Notamacropus eugenii: one gene and its partners. The protein of the gene in region 2 interacts with the protein of the main gene of each other region in a pairwise test. Links are inferred from orthologs where the notes say so. Each region holds a gene or a part of one and is shown on either strand. Other genes may lie near its edges. The genes, in order: RGS17, HOXA1, NELL2 and SLIT1.

Evidence for each region.
Region 1: the proteins of HOXA1 (region 2) and RGS17 interact in binary tests that used the Homo sapiens proteins (3 or more experiments, as listed by UniProt). The two-hybrid records come from large-scale screens. The link is inferred for Notamacropus eugenii from reciprocal best matches to the Homo sapiens genes HOXA1 and RGS17.
Region 3: the proteins of HOXA1 (region 2) and NELL2 interact in binary tests that used the Homo sapiens proteins (3 or more experiments, as listed by UniProt). The link is inferred for Notamacropus eugenii from reciprocal best matches to the Homo sapiens genes HOXA1 and NELL2.
Region 4: the proteins of HOXA1 (region 2) and SLIT1 interact in binary tests that used the Homo sapiens proteins (3 or more experiments, as listed by UniProt). The link is inferred for Notamacropus eugenii from reciprocal best matches to the Homo sapiens genes HOXA1 and SLIT1.

What each region holds. Positions count from the first base shown.
Region 1 is NC_092873.1:245,568,594-245,575,476, forward strand, and holds the start of RGS17 (regulator of G-protein signaling 17), read right to left. Parts: upstream 3,013-6,883; 5' UTR 2,904-3,012; coding exon 2,848-2,903; intron 1-2,847. UniProt on the Homo sapiens protein: Regulates G protein-coupled receptor signaling cascades, including signaling via muscarinic acetylcholine receptor CHRM2 and dopamine receptor DRD2.
Region 2 is NC_092874.1:18,131,442-18,138,882, forward strand, and holds HOXA1 (homeobox protein Hox-A1), read right to left. Parts: upstream 3,008-7,441; 5' UTR 2,864-3,007; coding exon 2,209-2,863; intron 1,711-2,208; coding exon 1,352-1,710; 3' UTR 143-1,351; downstream 1-142. UniProt on the Homo sapiens protein: Sequence-specific transcription factor. Regulates multiple developmental processes including brainstem, inner and outer ear, abducens nerve and cardiovascular development and morphogenesis as well as cognition and behavior.
Region 3 is NC_092874.1:211,486,887-211,494,845, reverse strand, and holds the start of NELL2 (protein kinase C-binding protein NELL2), read right to left. Parts: upstream 3,008-7,959; 5' UTR 2,375-3,007; coding exon 2,320-2,374; intron 1,868-2,319; coding exon 1,739-1,867; intron 1-1,738. UniProt on the Homo sapiens protein: Plays multiple roles in neural tissues, regulates neuronal proliferation, survival, differentiation, polarization, as well as axon guidance and synaptic functions.
Region 4 is NC_092872.1:213,997,924-214,005,891, forward strand, and holds the start of SLIT1 (slit homolog 1 protein), read right to left. Parts: upstream 3,018-7,968; 5' UTR 2,763-3,017; coding exon 2,569-2,762; intron 1,184-2,568; exon of another isoform or gene 871-1,183; intron 1-870. UniProt on the Homo sapiens protein: Thought to act as molecular guidance cue in cellular migration, and function appears to be mediated by interaction with roundabout homolog receptors.

The DNA of each region.
Region 1 (6,883 bases), on a different chromosome or scaffold from region 2:
ACTGGGTAAAGGAGAGAATGGTCACATTCTATTGCAAGGCCAGAGGTTTACTTACTTTTTGTTAGTTTAGTCTAGGCATTCTATTTGCTCTTGTTTACTTTCCAGGTTAAATAATGCCCTGCTCAGAGCCTTGTATTTTGGGGCCCAAAGAGTTCAGCTGTACTACTGAACAACGTCTTGGATGATTATTTTCTGGCAATCTTTCAAATGACCAAAGCTGCTGAACTATGTAAAACCATTTCAGCTCTCCTGCTTACACAAGGCAATGGTTTTCACTTGTGGTTTTGAAGACAAGATTTCTTGAATCTGCCATTTTGTTTTCTGCATGCTTTGCTATTTTCTGCCCAAAGAAAGGAAACAAGCCTCACTGAGTGCCACAGGAATAATCTCACCCTATGATATTTGCTCCATTCACTTGTAAATAAAGGAGTGAATGTCCTGAATTTGGCAGACTTCTCAACAAGTTAACAAGCATTTATTAAGTCCCTATGTGCCAAGGCCTGTGCTAAACTCTGGGAATACAAAGACAGGCAAAAAAACAGTTTCTGCTCTCATACATTCTACAGGTGAATGAAGAAAGACTATATGCAAACAACTATATACAAATAACATATACACATGATGAACTGGAAGTAATCTTAGAGGGAAGGCATGAGAATTAGGGGGGATGAGGAATCTTGCAGAAGGTAGGATTTTAACTGGGACCTTAAAAAAGCAAGGAAAGCTAGGAGATGGAGATGAGTTAGGAGAGAACTGCAGGCATGGCAGCCAGCCAATGAAAATTCTTGGAGTCAGCGGATGTACTGTCTAGTGTAAAGAACCACAAGGATGACATTGCCACTGGATATAGAGGAAAATATGGTGTAAGAAGACTGGAAAAGTTGAAAGAGGGTAGGTTATGAGCTATGTCCTCATAATATAACTATTTATTGAAGTGGCATAGTGCCACAAAGTTAGTCTGGTATTTGTGACTTGGTTGGACTACAAAATGACAATTCTGCCAAGGTTATATAGTTAAATAAAACTCGAGGCGAAGTTTGCCGTTGGCACCTTCTTTATCTCTTCTTATATCTGAACAATGAATCTTTTTTTCTCCTTACTAGTGGCTGTGTTCCCAATCCTTTCTAACCCTGCTCTCCCAACCTCACCCTCCAACTATGCTTCATGTCTTACCTTCAGTTAACTTTTAAGGAATCTTATTAGGATTGATAAGTAAGTAGTTAACAAACATTTCTTAAAGACATGTCATTTAAGACTATTTGAAATCAAGTGTTTCATACATAAGAGAATGAAATGTATGGTGGCATGACGTGGCAGGTTTGATTGGAGGTTGGAAGGCTGTTCCCCTCATAAATCTAGTACCACAGAAGCAGTCACTTTACCTTGTACCTCTTCCTAAAGTCCATTTTATCTGACCCAAATTCTAATTTTATAAGGGAACTCCAAATGCAGAGTGAATAGAGGGCCATTTTTGGAGTGTGGAAGACTTGGGTTTGAGTCCTACTTTGTTTACAGGGACTCAGACCTCAATGAAATTTTATTTGTCTTTCTGGCCACCTAAAAAGGTAGGATAATAGAGAAGAAAACTGCCTGCATTCAACTGTCTAACATCTTTGTATCTCTTTGATGTGCAAAAAATGAAAACAAACATACCCTTTCCTCCTATACAAATGAAACATGAAATGGTAAAAGAAAACATTTATTCTTAAAGAACACATGAAAATAAAAATGTAAACTTGTAAAACAACTTAAATCAAAAATATATGTGTACACATACATATATATATCACACTAAAATTCATATCTGCAAAGTTCAGTTTCACAAATTGTAGCATTCCCCTAATGCAGCATATTTAAAGTTTATTACTGAGAACGCTTTTTATGTTTCACTAAGATGTTAAAGTTTTTAATTTTTATAATTTTGACATCAGATCTTTTTTACTTAAAAGTCTGAAATATTCAAAAATTGTTCATGCTGTATGTAAGAGCATTTAGGTTTTATAAAAAAAGAATAAGAAAAATTTAAATGTACATTTCATCATAATTAAATAAAATTGTAATCCAAATTCCCAAATAGCAACTTTATTAATAAAAACATCCACACTTTAAAATAACTGATTCAAGATGAATGCAAAGCATATAATAAGATGAGAATACACTGTCATACTGTCAAAGAGCAGAAGTGAATAGTTATCTATTATCAGAAAACCTCAGAAATGTTTGGTTTGCAGAACAAATTCACAAGCCTTTATTCAGAATTGCATATGCACGGAACGTGATGTGCATATATGTATAAGTGGCTAAGGATTACAATATAATATAATTATATGCTGCCCTGAATGTGTAATTAGTAGTTCTTAGGTTAATTAGAGTCTATATTGACTGATAACTGACAGAATGCTGTATATCATTATTATTTTCTTTGAAATTCACTGAACTTACAATGGATGTGAGAAACAATTGACAAATAAGATACTACGGAGAAAGGACATATGTGACATATGTTCCCTAACCCAGTAATTTGTACCATCCTCCCATTTAGTCCTACTTCACTAAGAACTCCCTCTATCACAGTGCACCAAATTGATCCTCCAGCTCCTATCTGAAGATCAATAGTCACAGAGATCATGAGATCATAGGTTTGGAAGTGATAAGCAATTTAGAGGCCATGAAACTCAGCTGTCTCATTTTACATACAAGGAAAATGAGACACTAAGTTACTTACTCAATATCACACAACTAGTAAGTGTTAAATGTGAGATATGAATCAAGTTTTCCTAACTCTGATTCCATAACTTTATCTTAATTTTAATCTATTTAAATAAAAAATAAAACCTCTATACTTACCGAGGCAGCCCATTACATGTCTGGATAGCTCTAATTTTTAGGAAGTCTTGTCTCATGTTAGCTGTCAGCTTCTCTGAAACTTGTACCTATTGCTCTAGTCTCTACCCTTTAGAATCAAACAACAATACTAATCTAATCCTTCTTCCACCTGACAGTCATTCAAATACCTGAGGTCAGCTGTTTTGTCTCTTCTAATTCTTCTCTACCTGGATAATACAGCTTTTCTTCCCACTATTGATACTTATTTGGCTCCAGTACTCTCAGTATCCTCCTCATCCTTTCTAGTCTGTCTATGTAAAATGTGGAAACAAAAACAGAATAGTACTCCTGATGTGTTTTGAGTAGGGTGGAGCACAGTGGTCCTTCAGCTTTGATTGTCTTAGATGTTATTTCTTTAAGGCAATCTAGGATAGCATTACCTTGTTTTGACTAACATACTACCCCATGGGCTAATACTATCACATTTGCAAGCCACCAAAGTCTCCAGATCTTCTTCAAATGGGCTGTTAAATCATTCTATCCCCTCTTTATTCGTTATCCAATGAAGGTGACCACCTTGCCATCTAGAACTTTCAACTAAGCAGTCATCAATTAAAATGTTATATAGCATAGGGCCAAGCATAGCTCTCTTAATAACCGTTCTTTAGGTTGAGATATTAAAGCAGTCTCAAATATACCTTATAACTATTATCTGGCCTACATCTGAGTATATTGTTCACAAAATTAGCATGAGGGCCTTTTGTCAAATGTCTTACTGAAATCTCTCAGTCTAATAACCCTATCAAAAAAGGAAACAAGGTTTATTTGATGGAGCCATGCTGTCATTTCCATCCTGAATGTTCACAAACCATTCTCTTAATATGTCCTACAGTTTTGTTAGAAATAAAAAATAAAGTTCATGTTTTGTTTTATTTGTTTTGCACACACTACTTCCCTTCCTTTTTTTGAAAATCTGGTCATTTGTTCTCCTGCACCATCTCTCCTGTTCTTCTTACTGTCTTCCAAATATCACTGATGGGCTTAGCAATCATGTTTTCCAGGTCTTTTCATCTCTCAGTGTAGTTCATCCATGTCTGATGTTGTGAACTCATTGAGACCATCCAGCTGCTTTTACCTTATTTGCTTTTGGTTTGACTGCTTTTTAAACCATGTTTATTCTTTAAAAAAAAAATCACAAAGATTTTTGCCCTGGCAGTGGAAACAGTATCAAAGAGTTGAGCAGCTGATTATGTGTCACCTTTGTTATCATCCTATGTAGCAATACTTTCTTCATTCCACCTCTTATCAAACACATCAGTCCAAATTTCTTCCAAACTAAAGTTGAGGCTGGATAGCAACTCAAAAGTCATATCAAAAGTCTGAGGGAAGGAATTAAACCACAAAATATAAAGATTAAAAACAATAGAGGGGACCTTTTTTTTTTTTCAAATGCTCTTTCAAAACAACAGGAGTGGGAGGAAGGAATGATCTCACAAAGAAGTGTGTCCAAGGGAGGGTTTAAATTTTAGCTTACATTGTGCAGCCAAATCTTTTTTCTTGGAGCAGCACTCTAGTGTCATTTTAAAAAATATTTTCTTTTCAAGTTTGATTTCCAGTATTATTTTTAAATCTTTTTTTGTCAGTCATCATCCATCTCATGTTAGTATGTTTTATTCTTTTTCCATGTAAGCTTTGACCCATAAGTCATTTTACAAAACCAGAGTAACTTTCTAATTAAAGATGAAATGATCACACAAGTTTCTATGAGATCTGTTTGTGTTTGGTTCTAGCCACTTCTCCAATTGATCAAAAGAATTTTGAATTCTAACTCCGTCTTCCAAGGTTTCAAATGAACTCAAAAGGGATAGCTGGGGCTATCTACTGAACTTAATGCTTGTCAATTAAGGGGCACTAAATAACAATTAGTTCAACTATCTCATTCTTTTGCCAGGATCATTAGATGCTACAATGAACATTTCCTCTTTAATTCTGAAGTCTCTATTTTCTTAAAATCAAAGAGTGGCATTATTAAAAATTGTTATTAATGCGAGTTGTTAGTTTTCCATGGTTAATGAAAGCAAGAAAATTGATGTTAGCATTTTTAGGGAAGCTATGTTAAAATATAGAATAGGTGATCTTTTTGGAGTAATGCCTCAAAAGGAAGCAAAATAATGTTTGAATAAATACAGTGACGGGGAGCAAGCTATGCAACCACTCAGTTCACTCCATTTTTATAAAGTTCTTGTTTGCAAAATCTGTCACTACATCCTACTCATTGGTCCTAGGTCTGCCATCTGGAAGTACATAGAATGTCTAATGTCACTGCCATGTGAAGTTTCCTTCAAACATCTAAAATTTTACATTCATGTTATCCCCCCACTCTCCCAAGCGATCTCCTCCGTCCCCCCAGATTAAACACTCCTAGTTCCTTCAACCACAGTTAAATATCATATAGCTTCCAGAACCTTCCTGGTCACCCTCTTTAACCACATTCTGAACAATTTATTACAGTTTATATTTATTAAATGTCTACTATATGCTAGGTTTGGAGGCTACAAAGACAAAACTGAAGAAAGGTCCATCCTTTCAAGAAGCTTATATTCTCCTGGGGGAAAACAATATGCACGTGATAATAGCTAAGATTTGTATAGTGTTTACTAGGTGTCAGGCACCATGATAAGCCCTTTACAATTCTTATCTTATCACATCCTCATGAACTCCCTACTGGAAGGTGGGTGCTATTAACCCCTCCCCCCACAGATGAGTATGTACAAAATAAATTCAAAAGAACGGTTCTTTTGGGGGGGTGGGGGAAGGAAGAAGGCATCCTTAAGCACTATGAAGGGAAGAGAGTTAGGGATTCCAGGCAGCAGCAGTAGAGAGGGAGAGCATTCCAGGCATAGGGGACATCTTATATAAAGGCATGGATAGGGCAGATGGAATATTGTGAACAGGCATCATTGAATAGGTCAGTTTGAAATGCAAAGTGCATTAAGAGGAATGGATATAAGTCAGTTTGGAAAGACAGGTTGAAGAATGATTGTAAAAGACTTTTTTCCTTTAAAAATAAAGCATCTAGAACTGAACATAGCACTCCCCAAAACAGGCTTAGTGGTACAGAGTTTAGTGGGAATAAAATCCTGCTGAAAACATCTATTCACTATTTATTTATGAGGCCTTGAATACATTCATTGATTTTGATGATTTTTTATTATTAATGCAAATTTCAATATGGAAACTACATACAAAGAACAGAAGACTATATGAAACTGTTAATGCTGACTACACAGGTTTTTATATTGAGATTAATATGACAATAATAAAATTGACCTTCTTGACCACTTCCCTTTTTGAGTAGACATTCCTGTGTTTAAAAAAATGGTTGATGCTTCCTTCTTTCTCCTCTTCCTCTTTTAATTTTTTTGGATGGCATCACTATTACTTTATAATTCTACCTCCCAGAAAAAAAGAAACTCTCCATTATGACAAATAATTCAACCAAAACAAATCAGCACATGGAAATGACTGGGTAGGGACACAAACTGTACCATCAACCAAAAGGATGTGTCTGATGAGAAACTACAGGGAACCTGTAAGTAAGCTAGACCAAATCTTGAGGCTATTTCTTCAATTCATTTGTGCAGGTGGGAAATATCAAACTGTTCTTTCAAAGTATTGGTTTTATATGTTTTACCAAAAGGTACAAATTACAGTTGGCCAGTTTATGACTATTCCACATTCTGGCAGAGAACAAACAAATCATGCCGGTGATTATATTTCATTCATCAGGCACAATGCATTACACAATAGTCTAAAAGAATCACAAAAAGTAGATGTCCACCTATACTGAGTAAGCTCTGCAGGACACCTTAAGTCTGTTCATTCTCTTTACTACCACAGTTAGCCTACAAGGGAACAGTCTTATATCATGCAAACAGATTATCTTATCTTACATCTATTACAGATACTTCTCATGGTTTCTGAACAAATGTCCATGTATACAAAGTTTTTTAGAAAATCAATATATACAAAATGAAACATGAAAAGTAAATTATCT
Region 2 (7,441 bases):
AAAATTGACTCTATCCAATTAAGGGCAACTTTTATGAAAGTAGAGACACCCTTTTCCCTTCCCCTTCGCACATGAAATGATCAACCCAGTGTGGAATCAATTGTAGCAGCCTGGAGGAAATACAAGGAAGCCCAAGCATACCTGAAATGTGAATATATTTATTACAGATATTTTAGGACCCGTAAATTCTGCTCTGAATTCCATCACTCTTGGAATCTCAGAACTTTTCATGATTGTACAGAAACTCAGAAGCATTGTGGGACCACAAAGGACAACTGATAGAACTCAGTGTAGTATCTTTGGGAGCTCAAACCATTGTGCACCATGCAAAAAGCCTATTCACGAATCACATGAAATATACATTCATTTCGCCATTCATCACATTTACGATTGGGTTGGAGATACATCAAATCGAGGGAAGGATTACTGTGGAAATAAGATGTTTGGAGATAATATGCCCTAGGGTTCAGAAACAATTCAGCATAATTTTTGAGTGGGGCAGGAGGAGGCCAGAAGAGGTGGGAGGACTGGGGGAGAGACACTGCACACCCAGGAGGTTTACAAAAACAACAAAAAATACCCCAAAACACAACAACAACAATAACCCAGTGCAGCCCAGTCCTACTCATCTTCTCCAAAGGCACAGGGCTACTTCCCTGTGAAGTAATCTGATTGGGCTTCACCAGTCCAGTCTGATTTCTTTATTTTGTCACTTTTAGTCCTGTATAAAATTACACCCAGCTTTGGGAGTCTATCCACCCTGTTTTAATCTCCTAAGCTAAACATCATTTCTAGAAAATCTGTATAAAGATAAATCTCTTAAAGTATTTACAACCAGCAAACTCTCACACAAGAAACTGAATGCATTAAATTAAAAAGATGAATGTGTAAACACTTTCATAGTGCATCCTCTTCTTGAGGTCTTTAGACTCTCTTTTTTCCTGCCTTTAGTGTCCGGGAGATGAGGAGAAGGAGGACGGGGGGAGAAAAATAATTTGAAGTTAGATATCAGATATCTCCACCCTTCAAGCATGGGAGGGGGTGGGGTGGGGAGATGGAGTTTTTCCAAAGGATGTCTGAATCAATCATAGGCCCTCAGAGGTCATCAAAGACCAGATGGTGGTACCCCACCATTTGTGAAGTTACTCCCACCCAGCCTCTCAGTCTCTGGGCCTGAATTCTCTTGAAACACAGTGACCTAGCCCGAAGAAGACATGGAGATAACATCAAAAAGAAAGACATAGTAAAGGAAGGGAGAGATAAGCTAAGAATGTGCTTCGGGTTAGAAGTCCTGCACTAAAGTATCATGGGGTGGGGAGTGGGGGGAGGAAAAAAGGGGCCAGGGGCAAACTCAGTTGGAGGTAGTCAGAGTGTCTGAGGTAGAGGAGGCTGGGGAAGAGGGGACGCAGGGCGAAGAGGTAGATTTGTCTGAGGATTCCTCGGCCTTGTCGTCACTCCGTGATGGAGTGGTGGGCGAAATGGGCAACAGGCCCTCCTTTTCTCTCTTCTTTTGCTTCATGCGGCGGTTCTGAAACCAGATTTTCACCTGGGTCTCGTTGAGTTGCAGTGAGGCTGCGATCTCCACCCTTCTGGCCCTCGTGAGGTACTTGTTGAAATGAAATTCCTTTTCCAGCTCAGTCAGCTGCTTGGTGGTAAAATTGGTGCGCACTGTGTTGGGTTGGCCAATATACCCATATTCACCAGCTTTCCCTGGAGGGCAAGGGTGGGGAGAGGGGAAGGTGGAGAGAAAAGAAGTAGTTTGGTCATCTGATTGTTTTTAGTTTTTAAATGGTGTGGATGAGTGATTTATTTATACCCGTCAAGCTTTGGGATCATAGGTAAAGGGGCAAAGGATAACCTGACCACATAGGACTCCTAGGAAGGTGACTGATGAGGTACAAAGTATTAACTTGAAGTCAACTATTGGTGTGAACAGAAATCGTGATTAATGGGAGTCCACCCCTCCACCCCCAGCTCCTACTTTCAGGAAGCCAGAGAGAGGGACTGGCCTCCTGCCTATTATTCCTGGGCATCATTTACCTAAGTACACCTGAGTTCTCCACCCTATCCACCCCCTACAAAACCTATATATAACCTTGAGTTGGCTTCTCCCCACCATATTAAGTAAACCTACACCCACCCACCACTCCACCCCCAAACCCTCATGGCAGCAGTAGCAGTGGTCAGGTGCTGGGCAAGAGAACTGACCTGTTTTGGGGGGATTCCTTTTGACTTTCATCCAGTCAAAGGTCTGTGTTGGAGGTGATGCCTCTGCTGAAGGAGAGCGACAGGTTTCTTGGTGGCTGGCATGGAGAGGGGACAAGGAGTTATTATAATTTGCCAGAGTCAGATTCTGCGCTTCTTGTCCATATGAGTGGTGAATGTACTGAGGCGAGCCCACCGTGCCCCCAGCATAACCCTGGTGGTGGTGGTGGTGATGCTGGACCATGGAAGATGAGAGAGTTCCAGAGTAAACAGCGGGAGCACACGAGGGGTACCCGCCGCTTACGTCTGCTTCCTGATTTAATGAGTAGGGGCTGTAACCTGCTCCGAAGTTCTGCGATCCGAACCCCGGGCCACAGCTGGAGTGGGAATAAGACATACCCAGGTTGTTGAGGTGCTGGTAGGCGGCCGGCTGGGGATAGTGGTGATGGGCGTGAGGGTGGTGGGGAGGACTCATCTGCACCCCCCTGCCCACCAGGAAGCGCTCGTCGCTCCCGCAGCTGTTGGCACTGACCGCGCACGACTGGAAAGTTGTAATCCCATGATCGGGGTGGTAGGCTCGGGCGGAGCAGGTCCCCGAGTCTCCTGCGTTGAGGATAGGGTGCTCCAGGAAGGAGGCGCTCATTCTCGCATTGTCCATCTGCCTGTCACACAGTGACCGGCTCCTTCCGAGCCCTGGGTGACCGTGCCAACTTTCTCACTTCCTCCATGGGGCCAAAGAGAAAAATGATATGAATGTACAGTGTGCAGGGGGCGGGGGAGGGGGAGAGAGGGACGGGGCGCACGTGACCGCGGCAGCCAATGGCGGAGCCTCCTGTGAAAGTTTGCCTGTTCTTGCTGGTGATGGATCACCGTTTCAGTGGCATTTAAATCCCGGACGCTCCTCCATCAAGGTGACGCGCAGTCGCCCCCCCGGCCGCTGCAGCGGCGGCGGCGGCAGTGGCAACGATGGGAGCCCCGCTCTGGGGCCGGGCCCAGGAGGAGCCGGAGCCCCAGGGGCAGCCCTCCCCGTTGCCACCACCGCCGCTGTTGGCTCCCGCTCCGCCCTGCCTTAGGAGTCGCTGGAGGAATGGGGGAGTGGGGCAGATCCCCAGGGCCCAGCGAGGAGGACGAAGATGCGGCGCTTGGCGGGGAGAGTCCCAGCTCTGGTCAGGATCGCAGGGCTGGGGCTCGGTCTGCACTGAGCCGGCCGCCCAATTGCAGGTGAGTGGGAGAGCCCCTCACCCTCCCGGCCAACCCCAGTACCAGAGTGAGCCAAGGAGAAAGAAAAGGAAGATCGCCCTGCACCCGCGCCCCAGCCTCCGGGTGAGTGTGCTAGGCGCTGCCCCTAGCTGCCCAGCTCTCTGGTTATTGTCATGACCACGGCTTCCTTTGGGAACAGTGCGACTGGGAGGGGACGGTTTGGCGAGAAAACCTACAAGGCCCGTGTGGGAGGAGGCTAAGAGCAGAGGAGAGAAAAAGAGTAGGGGGAGGGAGGAGGGAGAAAAAGGAGGGGGAGAAGGGAGGAGGAGGACGAAGGAGGAGAGGGGGAGGAGGAGAAGGAGGAGGAGGAGAACTTCTCATCTCCACGGAAGGTCTCCAAAGCCAAGGAGCTTCCCCCTCCCCAATCCGCCCCAGTCCCGCAGCTATTAGCATGGCAATGAGACGTTGTTGTAATCTGATTCCCGGGGGCGGGAGAGCTGGGGGACCCTGGATTGACGGGAAAGGCCGCCTTGGCAGCAGCAATCCCCCTCCCCCAGCTTCTCCTCCTTCCCTATAATCGACTCTGCCTGGGGAGTCCGAGGTGACCGGCGAGTAACTCCCTAACTCCGCGGAGGGATGGGGGGGAGAGGGGGAAGGGGAAGGGCGGGGAGAGAGAAGGGGCAGACGCTGGCGAATGTAGCCCAGCTCTGGAGCGGGTCCCGGAGCTGCTGTCCATCTGGTAGGCTCCCCCAGCGCTGGAGGGTCAACCCACGCAGGCCGGGACATCCGAAGCCTCTGTCTAACCCCAACCCGGACCGAGTGCCTAGACATAAAAGACGAGGAGCGGGCTAAGAATTAACTGTAGAATTAACTATAATCAAATTCTTCTACCTTGGGGCTAGATCACCTCACGATTCCCCTCCTTCCCCCCCTCCCCAATCGAACCCCAACACTCCTAGGGTCACCATCCGCTGTGTCTGGAGTTGGAGGTGGGGGCTGCCAAGTGGGAGGGGCGACAGATGGTTGATGATGGAAAGTGAGCTTTCCCCTCCCTGCTACACCCCCTCCCTCCCCACAGCCAGACCCGCCCAGCCTCCTTGGTTTCTAGACTGCACTGACTGGCTAGTTTTCCCTAGAGGTTTGCGTTGCTACTAGCAGAAATCTCTTCCCAGGCTAAGGGTCCTGTTTTCAGTCACCTTCGTTCTCTCACAGCTACTAATGGGTTCTTTAATTTCTGTGGGGCACTGGGCTCCGTGTCAACCCTGAGCGGGCAGAGAAAAGGCCAAGTAGAACGGGTCAGAGACAGACTGAGACAGAAAAGAGTTGGGACAAACAGCAAGGCGGAGAGGGCCAGAGAAGGAATCTCTCGGTTCTGTGGGGGTGCTCCTTATGTAGCCAGGAATATCTGCGGTGTGCTTAGAGCCAATCCCTGCAGAGGAGGTGATCGCTAGGGCCACAGATCTGGAGGCTGCTTTTGATTGGTTACTTGTTTCCTCCCACCCCCTCCAATTTCAAGAACTAGATTTTTAGGGGGCCTATTTGAAATTTCCGTGTTACCACATTCCTTTTCTGTTTTGTTTCCTAAAATATAAACTCCTAAAATAAAATATAAACTCCTTTTCTCCTCCATGTCGAGCCCTCTCCCCCAGTAGCCTCCTCCTCAGAGAGGGGAGAACAAAATTGGAGGAGCTTCACCAGCTTCAGGGGCCCCTCAGCCCATCCCTCCTCCATTTCTCCTCTCCCCTCTCCCAAGTAGAAGGTGTTTCTCCCCAATATTTTTGCCCTTCTATTTTCATTTGCTCTTTTGCCCTTTGACCCATAGTCATGACGAGGAACTGAAGCAGGCCCCAAGTGAGCCAGTAGAGCCTCTTCCAATACGATCAGCACCATGCCACCAGGAAGGTTGGACCCTCTGAGGAGAAAGAGTCTGGACCTTGACTGAGGAGAATCGTCCCTTTCTCCTCTTCCCAGGCCAGCATCCAGTTCTGAGGCTCCTTCTCAGAGATTCTGGGGGCAGGGCTTGGAGTGGGGGTGGGGAGCTGCACAGTCATCACAGCTAAGCGTTTTCCTTTCCAGGAGCACAGCTTCCACAGAGTCCCCCTCTTTTCTCCATTTCTATATCTTTGTTTTTAAAAAGCTCATGTCTTTTGTTAAGATCCCACTTAGTCTAGAAGTCTGTAGCCTGCTCAGTCACAATGAAACATAATAGGGAATGATGGAATGTGTTCTATTGCCTCTCCATCTTGTCTGCTTTCTTCTACCCCCCCATCCCCCTCCTCTCTCTCTTTCTCCCTCCTTCCTTTGCCCTCTTGTTTTCTCACCCTCCCTGTCACAGGCTCTTTTCCTCTTTCCTCCGTTTCCTCCCTCCCTCTCTCTTTTTCTTTCTCTCTCTCCCCCTTTCCTTTTCCTCAGTCCTCTGACACTCTTTCCTCCTCCCTCTATTTCCCCCCTCTCCTTCTTATCATCCCTCCCACTTCCATCTCTTCTCTTTCCTTCTCTCCCTCTCTTTCCTCCAGTTCCTCCCTACTTGCTCCTTCTTTTTCTTTCCCTTTTTCCTCCCCTCTCTACCTTTCTCTTCCTCTTCTCTTTCTCCCGCCTTTCTTTTTTATCCTCCCTCCCACTTTCTTCTTCTCTTCCTGCCTCTCTTCTCTCCTGTCCTCTTTTCCCTCTCTCCCTCCTCTTTCCCACTAAGTGGAAGCCCCAGCAAGGAGTTTCCCTGGTGTGTGTAAATACTCACAGACATATTCACACAGGCAAAGCCATCAACAGAAATCGAGATACTGTACCCACTGGCGTTTCTCCACCCGGCTTAGCCTCTCTGCTGCCTGGGCCCAGATTCCACAGGCTCGTCATAGTCCAGATCAGCGCCTCCACTTCCTTCGGAGAATTTCGCCTTTCTTGAGCTTTCTTCCCACCGGCCATCACACAAAAGACTGGCCCCAGAAACACAAGACGACCAAGAGGCAAAACCTCCTTCCCTCATCCAGGAGGAAATTGATCTCGAAATCGACAAACGAGTTTTAGAGCCCTCTTTGAGCCCTGGGGAGTTGGTAATGAGAGCACCCAGCAAAGAACCCCATGCTTTGTCAAAAATGGAAAGCTTAGAGGCAGGCAGGGGAAGGGTGGAGAGACCGTCATTAAAATAAAAAGAGAATGGCTAGATTTAAAGCGCTTCTTCCCTCCGCCCAAAGCCCTTCTCCTAGAAAGAAAAGGAGGGAGGAGGGGGGGAAGCCCAGGCTCTGAGCTTTTCGTGGCATCGGCAGCTTAGCCAAGCTGTTGTTTTAAAAGAGCAATAAAAATGACTTATAGCTTAAACGCCTCCTAACTTAATGCTTTCAGACGGGGATCCCCAGCTCGGGCAAATACGTAAGAGGACTTGTATTTGTGCATGTGTTCCTGCAATTGATCTCTTTGATGACATTCTCATTCATAGAAAGAGTTTGATTTATGAGCAGTAGAAGAATTCTATCCAGCCCTATTCCCAGCTCTGGCCCACACAGCCCAGCCCAGCCCAGCCCAGCCCAACCCAGCAAACTTTCAGTTCAGCTTCTCTCCACTGGGCTCCGGTAAAAAGAACCCTACAACTTCTCCCAGATGCTGGATAGTTCTTTACGGAGGGAGGACTGAGGAGGTGGAGGGGGGGCATGCATTCACCCACCCACAGAGCCCAGATTTCATTGTAACTGCCAAACTATTACTGTTAAGGTCTTCGGTTAGTAAATCAGACCAGCCCACTCACACATGTTGCTTGCACTGTTTTCTCACGGTAAATAACACTGTTCACAGAAAGAGGGAGAAAAAGGGGGAAAGAAAATAAGAGGAAAAAAAAAACCAGAACAACCCAATAGCACAGCCCTACATCATATTTTATTGATGTTCATTTAAAGTGCATTTTATATATTTTATAGATTTTTTTTTTGTTCTGACTTGGGAATCTTCCTTATTTCAGAAGATGTTGTGCTGACCCACACTCCACTTTAGACTTCAATTTGCTAACCTGACTTCAAAGCTTTAATGAACCCTTTATCTGCCATGT
Region 3 (7,959 bases), about 190 Mb from region 2:
ACAGATCAACTAAAAGCCCACCTTCTACAAGAAGCCTTTTCTAACCTCTCTTAATTCCACTGCCTTCCCATTGTTACTATTTCCTAATTTATCCTGTATATAGTTTTCCATATATATATATATATATATATATATATATATATATATATGTATGTATGTATGTATGTATACCTGTTTGCATATTATTTCCCTCATTAGATTGTGAGCTCTTTGAGGGCAGGGACTGTCTTTTGCAACTTTTTGTATCCCCAGCACTTAGTACAGTGCCTTGCATACAGTAGTTTAATTAAAGTTTATTGGTCAATTACCATAGTGCTTTACAATTTTATCTCATTTGATCCTCACAACAACTCTGAGACAGGTGCTATTATTATTTCTATTTTGCAGATGAGGAACCTGAGGCAAACAGGTTAAAAGACTAATCCAGGGTCCCAAAGCTAGTGTCAGAAGCTGTATGTGAACTCAGATTTTCCTGACTCTGGGGCCTGTACTATATCTTTGCCTATCTTATTTATCTAGTTAAATAGAATTCCACATATGGAAATCAGGTTGACAAAATTTATTGTGTCTACTGTGTGCCCAAGCATTGTACTTTGACCTAGAAAAGATATAAAATCAATCTACAAATATCTGAGTGTTCGGTACTGTAGGGCATATAAAGAAATGTAGGATAGAACTCCCAATTTCCAGAAAATTGCAAGAGAAGTGGCGTCTCTGCCCTGGAAGATCTGTGCTTCTGTCATTATTATATCTGAATGCATACTGAAAAATTTTTTTAATGGAAAAAAGGAATTGGCCTTTGAGAATATTTTCTAGCACTTGTTCTACTACTTGACTTCAGAACATTGAAAGTGTACCACTGAAGTTGTATGTACTTGCAAGAGTTCTAAACCCCAGTTAGGTGCAAGTCACCTTCAAATAGCTTTGTAAATCAAGGTTAGTTTCAACTTTTAAAATATATGTCTGTCAGCACTACATATTTAAACATTATTTCATTATTGATTCATGAAGAGCTCTCATTCCTTTGTTATTAAAGTCAGGAGTAAGGATGTGGTGGTTAGAGGCTTGATTTGGGATTTTCAAAAAATGAATATATTTCCAGGGTGGCACAAGGATAGAAAATCAACCTTGGAATCAGGAAGAGCTGAATTCAATTCCAGCCCCAGACATTTAACTGTGTGAGTAACCCTGGGTAAGTCATTTTACCCCAATTTGCTCCCCCACACACAAATGAATACAGTTTCATAAATAATGTCTACTATATAATGAAGAAATAATAGTAACATGCCGGATGATTTTGATTTTTCTAGAAAGCTAAATACATATTTTGTCAAGATTCTGGCCAATCTAAAGAGGCAAAATTTCATAGGAAACTTTCAGAGAATAATTTCTTAATCAAAACTGTAGATATCTTATTTCCTAACTGAATTAACTTCAACTAAATGAGGCATTTGTTTTGATATAATGTTTCCTAGAATCTAAAGTAAACCATCTGCCATCTGAATTTCTGTATGTTAATCAGGGGTCCTAGCCATTAAAAATAACAGGAATACAAACTAAAAAGTTATGGGAGATAATCCTTGGCACTTAAAAAGAGATGAAAGAGAAGCAAATAAAACATGACCCTCCACTACTTTAAAACACTGTGATGGGAGCAATCTAATTCGAAAGTTTGGTTGAGGGCTTTGCTAAGGACTTCTTAAATTATCTAATTGACCCCAGTACCACGCATCCATACCTTGAAAAAGAAAGGCTTTACTTCCATTGTGAAGCCCAGGGACCTGGAACACTCCCGCTGTGGACTCTCCCAGCTCTAAATCGGTCAAGAAGTCGATTTTCAAGGAGGGATCTACTCCAATTCCCCAAACTGAAGGTAGGTTTTGGACATTGGAGAAGAATAAGAGGGAAAGAAAAAGCACCATCAAAATAAAAGTATCTGGCACTACAGGACAGCAATTATGTTGGAAGCTGACAAAGCTAGGCAACTATCCCTTCTCAGAATTTCACCTGTGCTCACCAGTTTGGCTTAAAAATAATTCAACACCCAGTCCTACTTCCATGAAATACTTAAAAATCCTTCCACCTGAAAAGTACCCCTCTGTTCACAAGGCTAAAGATATGGGCCATGAACGTCCTTTAGGTCTCAAAATGGGAGGGGGAAGCAAGCTAGCCTTTTCCCTTCCCATTCCCGGGCATTTTCAGTGCCACAGAGAGGATAGCACTGGTTTTCCAGAACCTCCTTACGTGGTTTCTGCTTCTTGTCTCTACAGAGTCTAATGCAGATTGCTTTCCCCTCAGCCCAACCCAGCCAGCACTGACCTGATCCGAGACAGAAGATCAAACAGAACGTGGTCACTAAGATTGGAGACTCCATGGTGGAGATCTTTTCAGTTCATCTTCTTCGTCTTAAAATAACAACAACACCCTCTTAAAATAAAAATAAATATACGTCTGCCTCTCCCTTTGTTTCTTAATATTATTTTTAAAAATCGAGGAGGGCAGTTCCTTAAAAATAAAATGCATAAATCTGTCAGACCCTTGAACAAATTGGACCTGATGTGCACATCATTCTCACATACAGTGGCAAAGGGTAAAAAAGAGGGAGGAGAGAGAGAGAGAGAGAGAGAGAGAGAGAGAGAGAGAGAGAGAGAGAGAGAGAGAGAGAGAGAGAGAGAGAGAGAGAGAGAGAGAGAGAACGATAAGGATGAAGAGAGAGGAAAGAAGGAAAGATCAGATCGGTGGTGGGAGTGGAGGTTGGGAGTGTTGACGGGTGTGGGTGGCAACAAAAACTCCCTCTCCCGCTGCAGCCAGAACCTGTGATGAAGGCAGAGACGATGGGAGGAGAGCCCAGAGATGCAGGGAGAAGAGATTGCCCTTTCAGGGAGGGGCGGCGAGCATGGGGGAGGGTGGGGAGGAAAAGGAAGGGAATGAAGAAAGCAGGGAAGAGCTTCCTTGTCCCTTTCCTCCCACTGCAACAGATTTCGGGAGCAACTGCAGCCTCCTTCTCTTCCTTCCCACTATCCTGGAGCCTTGCCACTCTCCTCCTTCAGATTAAAAAAAAAACAAAAACTAAAACCAAGGTGCCAAGTTCACAGAAGAGCGTATTCCCCCACTCCCAACCACCCCCCTCTCCACTCCACCTTACCCCAGGAAAAGGGATCACCTAGTTATTCAAAGTCCCTGAGGGAATTGGAAACTAAATTGCTCGCTAGTCAGAAAGGAACGAAAAATCCAAAAGCTACCCTACAGTTCTCCCATAACCGTGGCAGCTCCCAAGAAACTCAGTACTCCTTTCCAAGAGCACAAGACAGCATTGATCTGGAAGCAGAACGTGACCTTGAGCTGGGACCTGAAAAACAGAGAGAAGTGATTAATAGGGGGAGCAAAAGGGAGCCTTGGGGAAGATGCAAAAATTGACAGCCTGGGTAGGGGCGCTAGAGATATTTCAAGGAGGGGAAAAAAAAGCACAGTGAGTGGTGAACTTGGTGGCAGAACAGCCTGGAAGCTCCAGAACCTCTGCCAGACGGATGAGTTGAGGAAAGGGATATCGCGTGGGCTAGAAAGGAACTCTGAGCAGGCAAGCCTGGAGGAAGGAGCCATGGCACCAGCTGAATATGATGAGTCTCCCTAATTAGAGACCACAGTCTTGCCTCTCTAATAACATTTTCATAGGCCTTGGATTCCATTAATACAGAATCAGTGAGGATGGATGCAAATTGCATAGAATGTCTTCATCCAAGACAACATTTTCCAGAATTGCCCTTAAATATCCAGGAGATTGTTCTCTGAATTCAAAAAATTGGATTCCTTATACTCCTTCATCAGAGCAAATTTAAGAGGGTATTGCATTGCTAAATTGGTAAGTAAATTGTTACCTAGTTTTATAAGCAAGGCAGCTGCATTCTTAAATCTCCATCTACCCCTTCCCATAACTATATAGACCAAAATGCCTACAGTCTTGCTAAATGTTAGAAGAGGTGTCTAAATTGTCCTCACAGCAATAGGTATCAGAGTGTACCCTGTAATATATGCTACTACAGTAAAACAAAAAAGACATTTCTACTTTCTTTTTTATTGGCTCTTGGTGGGGAGTTATAATTAAGGTGTGGGAAATGTTTCAAATTATTTATTTAAGTTACTGAAATGTCAAAGTCTGGACCAAATTTTAAAATTTCTACTTATTCTTTTAAAATGTATTATGAAAATCTCCAATACCTAGAATCAGTGGAATTTGTTCATTTTTTAAGATAGCAGTATTTTTCTGACAAAATAAACATTCACATACCCACTTTAAAAAGGCTTCACAGGTATTCACTTGGTAAATTAAATTAAATTAGTATATTATTCAAGAAGCTAAATTTACATCTGCTTTTTAAAATGCTGGATTATCATTCTCCAACTGATAAATGGTCAAAAGATATGAATAGGCAGTTTTTCAGAGGAAAAAATTAAAGACATCTATAGTCATGAAAAAATGCTCTAAATCACTATTGATTAGAGAGATGCAAATCAAAACAACTCTGAGATACTACATGACACCTATGATAAATGTTGGAGAAGATGTGGGAGAGTTGGAACACTAATTCATTGTTGGTGGAGCTGTGAGCTGATCCAACCATTCTAGAGAGCAATTTGAAACTATGCCCAAAGGGCTACAAAAATGTGCATACCCATTGACCCAGAAATACTACTTCTAGGACTGTATCCCCAGGGGACCATAAAAGTGGGAAAGGGTCTCACTTGTACAAAAATATTTATAGCAGCTCTCTTGGTGGTGGCCAAAAACTGGAAATCAAGGGGATGCCCATCAATTGGGGAATGGCTGAATAAATTGTGGTATATGAATGTAATGGATACTATTGTGCTATAAGAAATGACGAACTGGAAGACTTCAGAGAGATCTGGAAAGACATAAGAACTGATGTTGAGTGAAAGGAGCAGAACCAGGAGAACTTTGTACACAGCAACAACTATAGTGTGCTAGGAATTTTTCTGGTAGACTTAGTTCTTCATTGCAATGCAAGGACTTAATAAATTCCCAATGGTCGCTTAAGGCAAAATGCCTTCCACATCCAGAGAAAGAACTATGGAATTCAATTGCAGAATGAAACAATCATTTTCTTTTGTAGTATGTTTTGATTTGTTTTATGATTTCTCCCATTCATTTTAATTCTTCTATGAAACATGACTAAGATGAAAATGCATTTATTTAATAGGAAGGTATGCGTAGAACCTATATAAAACTGTATGCCATCTCAGGGAAGGAGTGGGCAGGTAGGGAGAAAGGGGAGGAGGGAGGGGAAAAATCTAAGATACATGGAAGTGATTGTAGAACACTGAAAACAAATAAAATAATAAATAAAATAAAATAAAATGCTGGATTACCTAGGCAGTTGAATAAAATAGATGTAATCGGGAGCTCAAAACTCATTTGTGTAAGACTTTTCATTGATGAAAACTGCTGCTGTTAGGGATGGAACTGATGAGAGTATGAGAGAAAAGAGAGATATTGGTCTTTGCAGTGGTTCCAGATTATGTTCTGGGAGTGGTCTTTGAAGAGAGAAATATTGTAGGAAGAAGCTAATATGTAGAGGAACTAGGGCCTCAGACATTTCTCTATCTCTGTAATAATATAATCTCTATCCCATTATTATTGTAAGAAAAGACCTGAGGTAATATTTGCAAAATGATTTGCAAATCTCAAAACACAATGTATACATTCTCTATTACGCCTTCCTTTCTACACAGAAGCTTCAAGGAATTTTTTCTTGAGTGAGTTCTGGATGATTCTCTCTCTGTCTCTCCATCTCTCCCTCTCTCTCTTTCTCTCTCTCTCCCCCTCCACTCTATGAATTGTCTAGTATATTCTCATCTGTATAAGTTCTCTGATTTCTGTTTATTTTGACTTGCAAAATGGATTTATTTGCTATATAACAGCTTCTTCCCAGAGTAAGCAATCTTCACCAATGAAGAGACCCTTATGCCGATGGTCTTTGAACTGTGGGTTACATATAAAAACTAAAAGTTAGATTTTAAAAGTTGGCATGATCATCTTTCTATAATCTCATTGTCAATTCACTGCAAATAATGATTGTATTGCAGGATATTCCTAAGCACTTGCCTAACATTTAAAAGGTTTGATGGTTACACTTAGAAATAATTTCTATCTCTTGAAATTGTGAATTTTCAAAAATTATTCACAAATTATTTTTAGTTTCTTTCTTTAAAATAAAAAAGAGCTTCTTCTATTCCTTAAATAGTAAAAACCACATCATGTAACTATGTTTAAAAATATCTTTATATATAAAAAGATTCAACATTTCTCTTCAAGATTCAAACATTTAAGATAGTTAGTAGTTAGTATTTACTATCTTCCAGTAATACAAATTTCCTAGTTTGAATGAACTTTCCTCCATAGAAATTAATTGTTACTTTCTGCATAAAGCCAAATTTAAGATCCCCTGTTCAAAGAATAAATGGTTCAACTCCTACCTATGCATATAAACTTCTAGCTATTTTTTAATCCAAATCATTTAGAATGTTCTACAAAATTAAAGTTAAGGAATAGCTCCCCAATTTCATTTTCTAAAATATATTTTTATTGATATCTTTTGATGTTTTTTCTTATAGCACTAAAATTATGCTCAATAGCCCTGCCCCTTTGATTCCTAGAGAGCTAGCTCATATTTTCCAAGACAAAGGGAAAGAAAAAGAGAGGGAATGAGGGAAGGGGAGAGAGAGAGAGACAGAGAGACTGAGAGAGACAGAGATTTAGATCAGAAAACTGCTTATTATGGGTCAAAAGTCTGAAAATATGCACAATGAATCATATGAATGGAATACCCACTACTAAAAGGGTGGGAGAGGGAAGTTCTCACATTTCTTCTTTAGAGCCATATGTGTTCTTAAAACTTTGCAAATTCAATTTTGGGTTTTTTTGCATGTGCTTTTTCTTCCTGTTTATATAGTTGTAGTCACTGTTTATATTGTTTTCCTCTATCTTCTTAATTCATTCTCTATGAGTTCATATATATTTATACATACATATATATGCTTCTCTGTATTCATAATATTCATCATTTTCTAGAGCACAATAATATTCCATTTTATTAATCCATGAGCATTTCTTTAACTATTTTGTTTGAAAATTTTTGTAAACTTTGTAAACTTACATAATTATTTATTATTACCAAAAGTGTTACTATAAAAAATTTTATGTATATGGAGAATTTCTCTTTACCAATGTCCTTCCTGGGGTATTAGCCCCAAGAAACTCTGGATCAAAGAGAGTGGACATTTAGTCACTTTGATTGCATAATTCCAAAGTAGTTTCCTAAATGGTTATACTCATTACAATGTACTAGTACCTATCTTTTCACAACTCCTCCAACATGGACAATTTCTATATCTTTTTCTCTACCAATTAACAGAGTGTAAATTGAAACCTCAAAGTTGTTTTGATTTAGATTTCTTTTATTATTAGTGATTTGGAGCTTCCCTCTATCTAATTCTTAATAGCTTCCAGTTATTTTAAGAACTTTTGGGGGGTTGGAGCCAAGATGGCAGAGTAAAAGCAGACACCTGCTAGAGCTCTCCCCCCAAAGCTCTTAAAATACCTGTGAAAAAAGACTTTAAACAAATTCTAGATAAGCAGAAACCACAAAATGACAGAGTGAAACAGATTTCCAGCCCAAGACAACCTGGAAGACTGACAGGAAGGGTCTGTTGCACCACGCTCAGAGCAGAGCTCTGTCAACATGGCACAGATGGTAGAGACTGGACTGGAGCAGTCCTCAGGGCATTGGCAGCTGCTACAGTTTCCTGATTTCTCAACCCACAAACACCAAAGACAGCTTCAAAGATTAGTGAGAAAGCTCTCCACCTGGGTGAGAAGGGAGCATGGTTTGGTCCCAACCTTAGCTCCAGGGCAACAGCAGTTACTGCTGCAGTTATTGCCAC
Region 4 (7,968 bases), on a different chromosome or scaffold from region 2:
CTCAGAAGAAGCTGCTGTTTCAGACACTGATAGTGCTCGACACCCATATTGATTAGAGAGACAAATTTACCACTGTTATTTTAAGTCCACGTGTGCACTCTTTCCTGGCTCTGTCAGATTTCTGGGGGTTTTTTTTAATTCTCTTTTCTTTACCAAGTAGCTCTTTCTTGGTCTTTTTGAAAGAAACATATTTCTTTCCACTATTTCTCTCAACCCAAATTCAGCAGATAATAATAATAGCTCACATTTCTATTATCTCTTAAGGTTTACAAAGAACTTTCCATACAATAATCCTGTGAAATAGATAGTGTAAGAAATCTCATTCCCATTTTACAGATAGGGAAACTGAGGCTCTGAGAGCTCAAATGACTTGTCCAAGATCACACAACTAGTATCAGAACCACAATCAAAAACTAGTTCTCTCCTGATCCCTCAGAGTAATAATCAGACCTCTCCTCTTTCCTCCAGGATAATTTATGCCTGGGGCAAAGCCCAAAATCCTCCCCTTTGTCACTTAGCCTACCCTAATTCCACTAACCTAACACTTATATGGATTCCATCTCACTTCTTTCTATAAAGTTAAATAGCTTAATAGAGTTAAAATAGGAATTACCCTTGAGGGGAAAAAAGGAAAGTGATCAAGACCAAAAATGAATGATCAAACCTTTTCAACAAAAAAATTTTTTTTTCCAAAGGAGAAGGATGTTATTCAGAGTGAGAAACATTGTAGAAGGTGTATACACATATCAGAGAATGCAGAGCTAGCCACTATTCCAAATGAGCAAACAGAGATGGGAATAGAGAGGAGGGAAGCTTGGGAAGGGTACAAACATGGAAATTCAGAGTCACTGTGCAAATGTCTGTCCACAGGGCTCCTTCTTCAAGAGAAACAACTCTGGTTCGAGCAACTATCTGGTTCTACTCTAAACTCTGGCTCTATCCTGATAGACCTGAAGAAGGAATGAATTGAACTGATGAATGTCATCAAGGATTCCAAACCTTCCCTATGATTCAGAAGCAGAATTTCAATCCCCATCTAACCTCCCTGTCCCCCTATTTGATCACAAATGGCTAATACACTTCAGAGGATGTAAAATTGGGGAAACTTACAGAATTGGACAGTAGGAGGTTCTAGGGCAAATTGTCTGCTTCCTAATTGTTGACCTTAATACATAAAGTTTCATGGAGAAAAATGATCCCCTTCGGGTCCGATTTCTGTCCCTGACCTTCTGGGAGTGATGAAAATGTGTGAAAAAGTTATCAAAATATGGGCTCTTTGATTGAGAGCCACTGGATTTGCACAGGAGTGTGGGAAGAAAGGGCAGACTGGCTTCAAAGGAGGCTACACAGCCCCCTACAAATTCCCATTCCAAAATCTATTGGTGCAATAACCTCTCTGCTAGTACAAAGGCTCTGTGTGTGTCCAAAAATCCATCACACACATGCATGTATCCTGTAGATGTAAAATGAGATGTACCATTGGTCTGGAGCAATAGACACTACAAATTTGCATATACAGAGCCTGGATAAGGCTCTAAGCACATTACTAAGCTCTGTAAACATACACATGTTACCCACACCGTCCCTCAGCAGTGTTCTCCAGGAGAACTATAAAAGACATATAGTATCTTCAAAAATTCAAGGGAGGGAGTAGGGTGAGGGCACTGGAAAATGATGTTTTTATTACTTAAAACTGATAATCTCTCTTTAACCTTGCTAAAGAGAGTTCCCTACCCCACAGCAGGAAGAAGGGAACAAGAGTCTTGTCACTGGCTCTGTTCTTGGGCTGGTATTTACCAGGTTTCCCTCCTCCATCCCTTTGCCAGGCTCATCCACATCCCTTCTGATGAACCAGATCAGTCACAAGTCAAGCTCCCAATATCAAAGATGTCCCAAGGCTATGCTGTGACATGTTCCATTCCATTGTTTATCTGGACTGGGGATGAAGAGGGGTAACAAGGAAAACTAATGGGTGATACCTGCCAAGGAAGGGATACTGCGCCAGGAAAAACAATAGGGAAAGAGAAATAGGAGAAGCCTCAACTAAGCACCCTAGACACCCCAGCAGCCTCCATAACTGCAAAGGCCAAATGCATACACATACACATATAGATCTAATCCAAGCCCATATTTCCCCAAAATGAGGTTTCATGCCTGGTAAAGTAGATGACTACCTCCATTCCAAGGGGGTGCCATCAGGATTACCTCATAAAAGATTATGAAGCACCCTGAAAACAGCTACTATGTCATTTCAAAATAGCCTAATAAGAGGGGAGAAGGAGGGCTGGGGGTGCAGGTGTAAGTGAGCACAGGGGAGCCAGGGAGCTTACAACCCTAGGGAGGGCTATTTGAATCATCAAGAAGAGGCAGGCAGCTGTGCTTCAGGCTCAGAAAATAACCTCAGCTCCACTGACCAGTCCAATGGCTGTCTACCCAGGGCCCCAAACTGTGCGCTCCAGACTAGGGAATTCAATCTAGGATGGGGGCAATTATGGGGCTAATGGGAAGGGGGGCTGCCGATGGCTCCCCACTGAGAATAAACGTAAAGAAAAAGGTACCCATACTCACAGTCTCTCAGTGTTACGCGGGATGTTTTTGGGAACCGATCTGAGCCCCATGCCATGGCAATCCACAGTGGTCCCTGTGCAGGTGCAGAGAGCAGGACAGCCACGGGCACACAGCTGGCACAGGGCACTCCACACCAAGAGCCAGACTTCTGGCCGGAGCCAAGCAGAGTGGCCACCTCTGTGCTTCAGAGCCATGGTACCCACAGACAGTCCTGTTTCAGTGCCAGAAGACTGGATCCTTTGACCATTACAGTCCTAGGCTTGGCTCCAGGCACCACACAGGTTTGTGTGTAATCCCAGGTAAAAACAAGGTGGTGAGGGGAAGGAAATGAGGGGAAGAGAAGGAGAAAAAGCTTCTTTCTTCTGTCTTTCGGGATGCAAATCGCCTTCCTCTTCCAGTAGCTATTCCACTGCCTCTCTGGATGGATGGAGTTCTCTAGAGTGAGCTTATCTCCCTCTCCTATTTCTCTCCCTCTCTTTCCCTCCCTTCCTCTCTCCCTCCCTCTCTCCGTCTCCCTCCCTCCCTGATTGCTGCGAAGAGGAAAATGGGAAAGCCGCGAGCACACACACGCACACACACACATTCACACTCACACCCTCTCTCGCGCGCGCACACACACTCACATCCAGCAGTCATCCATCAATCTACAGGCACAAATATCAGCCCTGACTCCTCCTACCCCGTCCCTCCCGACTCTCCCCAGCCCCAGCCTCTCAATCTTCAAACGGCCACTCAACGCAAGTGGAGCCGCGTACAGTTCCAAAGGTGTAACCCCTGCCCACCGCAAAGGAAAGGGGGCCAGGGGCGCAGAGGGGGGAAGGGGATGGGCGGGGGCGCTGCGACTCAGCTGGAAGTAGGCACGAAAGCCGAGTCTGGGCGCTGGAAGAAGCGCGCGCAGCAGCCTACACACATAACCCACGAACACACGCACGAAAAGCCCCGCACACACTCACGCCAAGCACACACTCACAGGCACACGTTAGCAGTCACACTGTAACAGGCGTGCCCAAGAGCGTCCTCCCCGATCCGCCCAGCACAGGCACACACACACACACACACACACTTCGGAGCCACTTGAGGCCGTGGCCCGCTTCTGCCTCTGGCTCTGACACCCCAGTTCTCCGGAGTGGAATGACCCTTTCGGCGCCTCCTGCCAGTCTAGGGCAGGGTGGGGTGACCTCGTGCCCCAGGGGTCTGCGGGAGCCTCGGCATGGGAGCCATGGGACCGGGGATGGGGGGGAGGGGGGCACGTTAGTGCCCAGATCGTAAAGGTGAGTCCGGGGCATCTCCGCCCAGCTCTGAGCCCAGAGCTCATCTCGAAGGCTAGGGCGCAGGGGCGCAGGGGCAGAGGGGGAGGGATGCTTGGACCCCACTGCTCCAGCCCAGGGGCAGACCACTCAGAGCCCCGAGGGAGCCACCTGCCCCGAGATGTCCCCCTCCCCCCCAGTTTCCTATCCTCAAGGGTCTGAAAACCGGGGCGGTGTCTAAAGGGCACAAGGCAGAGGAAGCTTCGCGGGCTCCGTCACACCACCTGTCCCTCCAGGGGCCCAAGGTTGCACTGGCCCGGAGTTTGTATTCCACGAACCCTCAAGTTTCACTTCGAGTCCTTACGCCAACCAAACCCTTCACTCCCTTCCCCACCACCACACACCCCCCTACCATCCTCGAGGACCCATACTCCACTCCACTAGGAGAAAAACTAGGATCCGAGTTAGGCTGCCTAGTTAGGCTCCATCAGGGTCACTTCATTGCACGAGGAAGGGAGCGTCCTTTCCTGGTGACTACAGCTGACTCCCATACTGAGGGGGAGCCAGACCCTTACGAGATTCGGAAAGGAGGAGGAGATCCCCACCCCCACTTGCATGCCGAAAGAATCAGGTTAAAATAAATTCCAAGGACATCCCTGAAGGAGGAAAGGAGTCATAGATCATGGATCTTGAGCTGGAAAGAATCTCCGAAGCCAACCAGTCAAACCGACATATTTTACAGATGAGAGAACTAGCCCTAGAGTTCAAGTACCTTGCCCAAGGTCACACAAGTGATATTAGCATCAGACCTCGACTGAAACCCAGGTCCTCCAGCTCAAAGCAGGCTTGGTATGTAGTGGGACGAACACTGGACTTGGAGTTCGGAAATCTATGTGTCACTTGCCAGGTGGGTGACCTAGAGTAAGTCAAGTCCCTTTTGCAAGCCTCAGTTTCCTTCTCTGTAAAATCAGACTATTGTCTAGATCTCCAAGGTCCCTTCCAGTCCAACATTCGTTTTCTGTGACTGTGAAAATACAGTTCATTTTAACAAAGGACAAGTTAAGGGATACATCGTCCTAATAAAGAACCCTAGTAAGGGCAAATCCTACTGTTTTGCTTTGTGAGTGGGGGTAGAGGAGAAAGAAGGGAGGACCCCTCATTTTCTGTAGAAGATCTCCTGGTTTTTTATTTGTTTTTTGGTGAGTTTTTAATACTAGCGAGTAAGTTACCTCCTCATCCACTTTGAGGAGGTTGTCCTTCCAAGTCAGCTTCTAGTCCCCAGCCCCAATCCAGCATAGGTTGTGGCAGATTGGCATTTTGATGCCCACCTCTTTACATATGTAAGGTCTGCTTTTTAAAAATCCTTTTTTAAAAAAATTAACAGCAAGGTTGATATAGAATTGACTTTTGGAAGGTCACTGTTCAGACTGCATCTTGCAGTAGTCTATCACTCCTTAAGGACATTTTCCATCGGTCTCCCTCACACGACACAAAACACTATTGGAATTTCTGTCATGGTGGCATGTTGTACATCTGTTACACAGAGACATGCGGCAAAGCTAAATGGAATAAAAAGATCTTCCAAGGTACCTTTCCACTTTTCCTTGACTATATCATCTTATCAGATTTCCCTTTGGGACAAATGGATAAAAAGGTTGCTGCTTCCAAGAAATAGCCTTGATTATTACTCCAGAAAAAAATGGCCACTGCTGTCTAAAAAGAACACAGAGAGAAAGTTTTGGTGTGTAGTATTTTTGTCCTACAGGGGTTATGCTTTTAGAAGAGCTTTGGAGGAAATAAGAATTACAGAATCATAGAATTTCAGAACTGAAAGAGTACTCAGGGGCCATTTGAAAAAGAATTCTCTCTTCAGCAAATGGATAAAAAGTCACTGGGACTTTGGGGGAGGGGATGACCACCATCTCCTGGAACAGCCTGTTGCACTTGTGGACACCTCTAATCCTCAGTATTTTTTTTTTTTACAGCAAACCTAAATTTGTTGCCTTTTAACTTGTACCCAACAGCTCTTGGTTTTACATTTTGAGGCAAAACAAAACAAGTGTAGAATTACTCATTCACGTGGTAGTCCTGCAGATATTTCAAAATGACTATCATGTCCCTCCTCCATCTCCAGGATTCTCTTCTCCAGGCTAAATATTCCCAGTAGCTTCAACAGATAAGCACATGGTATGATCTCCATACCTTTCAGGTTGCCCTTTCCCAACCTCTCTCCAAAAGCAAACAGAGTTTGTGAGACCACCAAGGGGCATCTTAGGAGCTCCTCGGATTCTCTCCAGACTGAACTAGAAATAGAGCACACACTATTTGCCTTACTTTGTAGACGTTAGAACCACAAGCAGTATATGCTGTCCTGTATGCATTTCTCAGTGTATGAACAAATACGAATGGACCAAAGTCAGTTCAACAGAGCCATATATACACTAGAGTATAACTACAAGTATCTAGCTGGGCAAGATGGACAGATGAGAAAGGGTACAGATGGGTGAAGTCAGTGATAGCACCTTCCCTGCTTCTGGGAAGGTGCTGTTAGGACCCTCCAAATTAACAGCTCTGAGACAAAGCTCCAATTGCCCTGCCTTAGTTATGGCTATGAAGATTACTTTTAGGCTCTGGGCAAGATGGTAACTGGAATGAAGGGGAGGAAGACGTGTGATAAGGCATAAAAAGAAACACGCAATGATGCCATCCAAGCACTTTCTGTGGGAGCTAGAGATCTGAAAATAAAAGCAGAAAGTGTCTCATTTTCTGTAAAAACCAAAAAGGAATGGCAAAATTTGTCTTTTACATCTGTCTTTAACCAGACTCCAGATTCTTTTCACTTCTGGTGGCTAGAGACCATAAGTAAACTAATAAGCAGGAACTTTTTCTTAGCAATTTCCTTCCCTTGGAGTATCTGTCTTACCAAGGGTCCCAAATTCCAGTCCTATCTGGACAGAGTTCTTTAACCACAGCTTCTGTTCCCAAGTGGAGTATAATGGAATATCTCCTGACCCAAAATTGCAAGATGTCCTGTATATAAAAACGTGTCCTTTATTTCCATGACAAAGTCCTGTTTGTATTATATAGTCACAAATCATGAATATAGACCCATACTTGAACCAGTGATCTCTGTGAGTGCCCATTGCTTCCTTTCCAAGTACCAAATATGTCCTATATTCTTCATAGTAAGGAAGATAGATAAAAAACTGTCCTGGCCGCATCATTGCACTAATTCCTAGCTTTATGTCATTGATATTTGGAGCTGAAAAGGACCTTCAAGATCACTTAGTCCAGCTCATTCATTTAACTGACAAGGAAGCTGGACCCAAAAAAAAGAAGTGATTTCCCCTACCTTACACAAAGCCCAAACTGCCTCTCTAAACTTCCAGGCCACCCTGTTATTTCTGTGACACCAAGCTGCCTCAGATGCTAAATTCTTAGCCCTTCCCCATGGGGAATAAATTGTGTTCAAAGCCACAGAAGGAAGGACCAGCCACATTCCTGACTAACCTCTGAAAATATGACTGGCTGCTAAAAGCTCACCCCCTTATTCTGTTTGGCAGCAAGATACCAGGAGGCATACCAATGATTAAAAAAAGGTATTTAAGAGACCTAGATGCAAAAATGATACTTGGGACTTCATTTTTTTTGTTTGTTCCTCCTGCCTTGATCCCCAGAAGGGCACTTAGAATCAGGGTCCCCTGTGGGGAATGTAGGAGTGTTGATTGGTCAAACTGAGTGTCGCTACTGAGGCTTATGGAGAGAAAAAGGGGGTCTGGAAATGAGAGGGAGGATGAGGGGGAGGCCAAGAGAAGAAGATAGAACCAGCTACACAGTGTAATCTTGCCACTGGCTCAAGAATACCTAGACACCAGCAAGGACTTCTGGACTGTCACTCATCTTCCTGGCCCCTCATAGAAGCTAGAAGTTAAATCATGTGGGAACTCGAAGACAGCAAGATATCGTGCAAGGGGCACAGGATTTGTAAATCCAAGGACCAGGCTCTGAATCCCAACTGTGTCTTTGTGTGATCCAGTGGCAAGCTCTTTACCTCTGGACCTTAGTTTCTTCATCTGTAAAAGGAAGGGTTTGGACAGAATTCATTTCTGTGGTACCTTGCAGCTTCAAATCCTGTGACCCAGTCAGAGTCCCT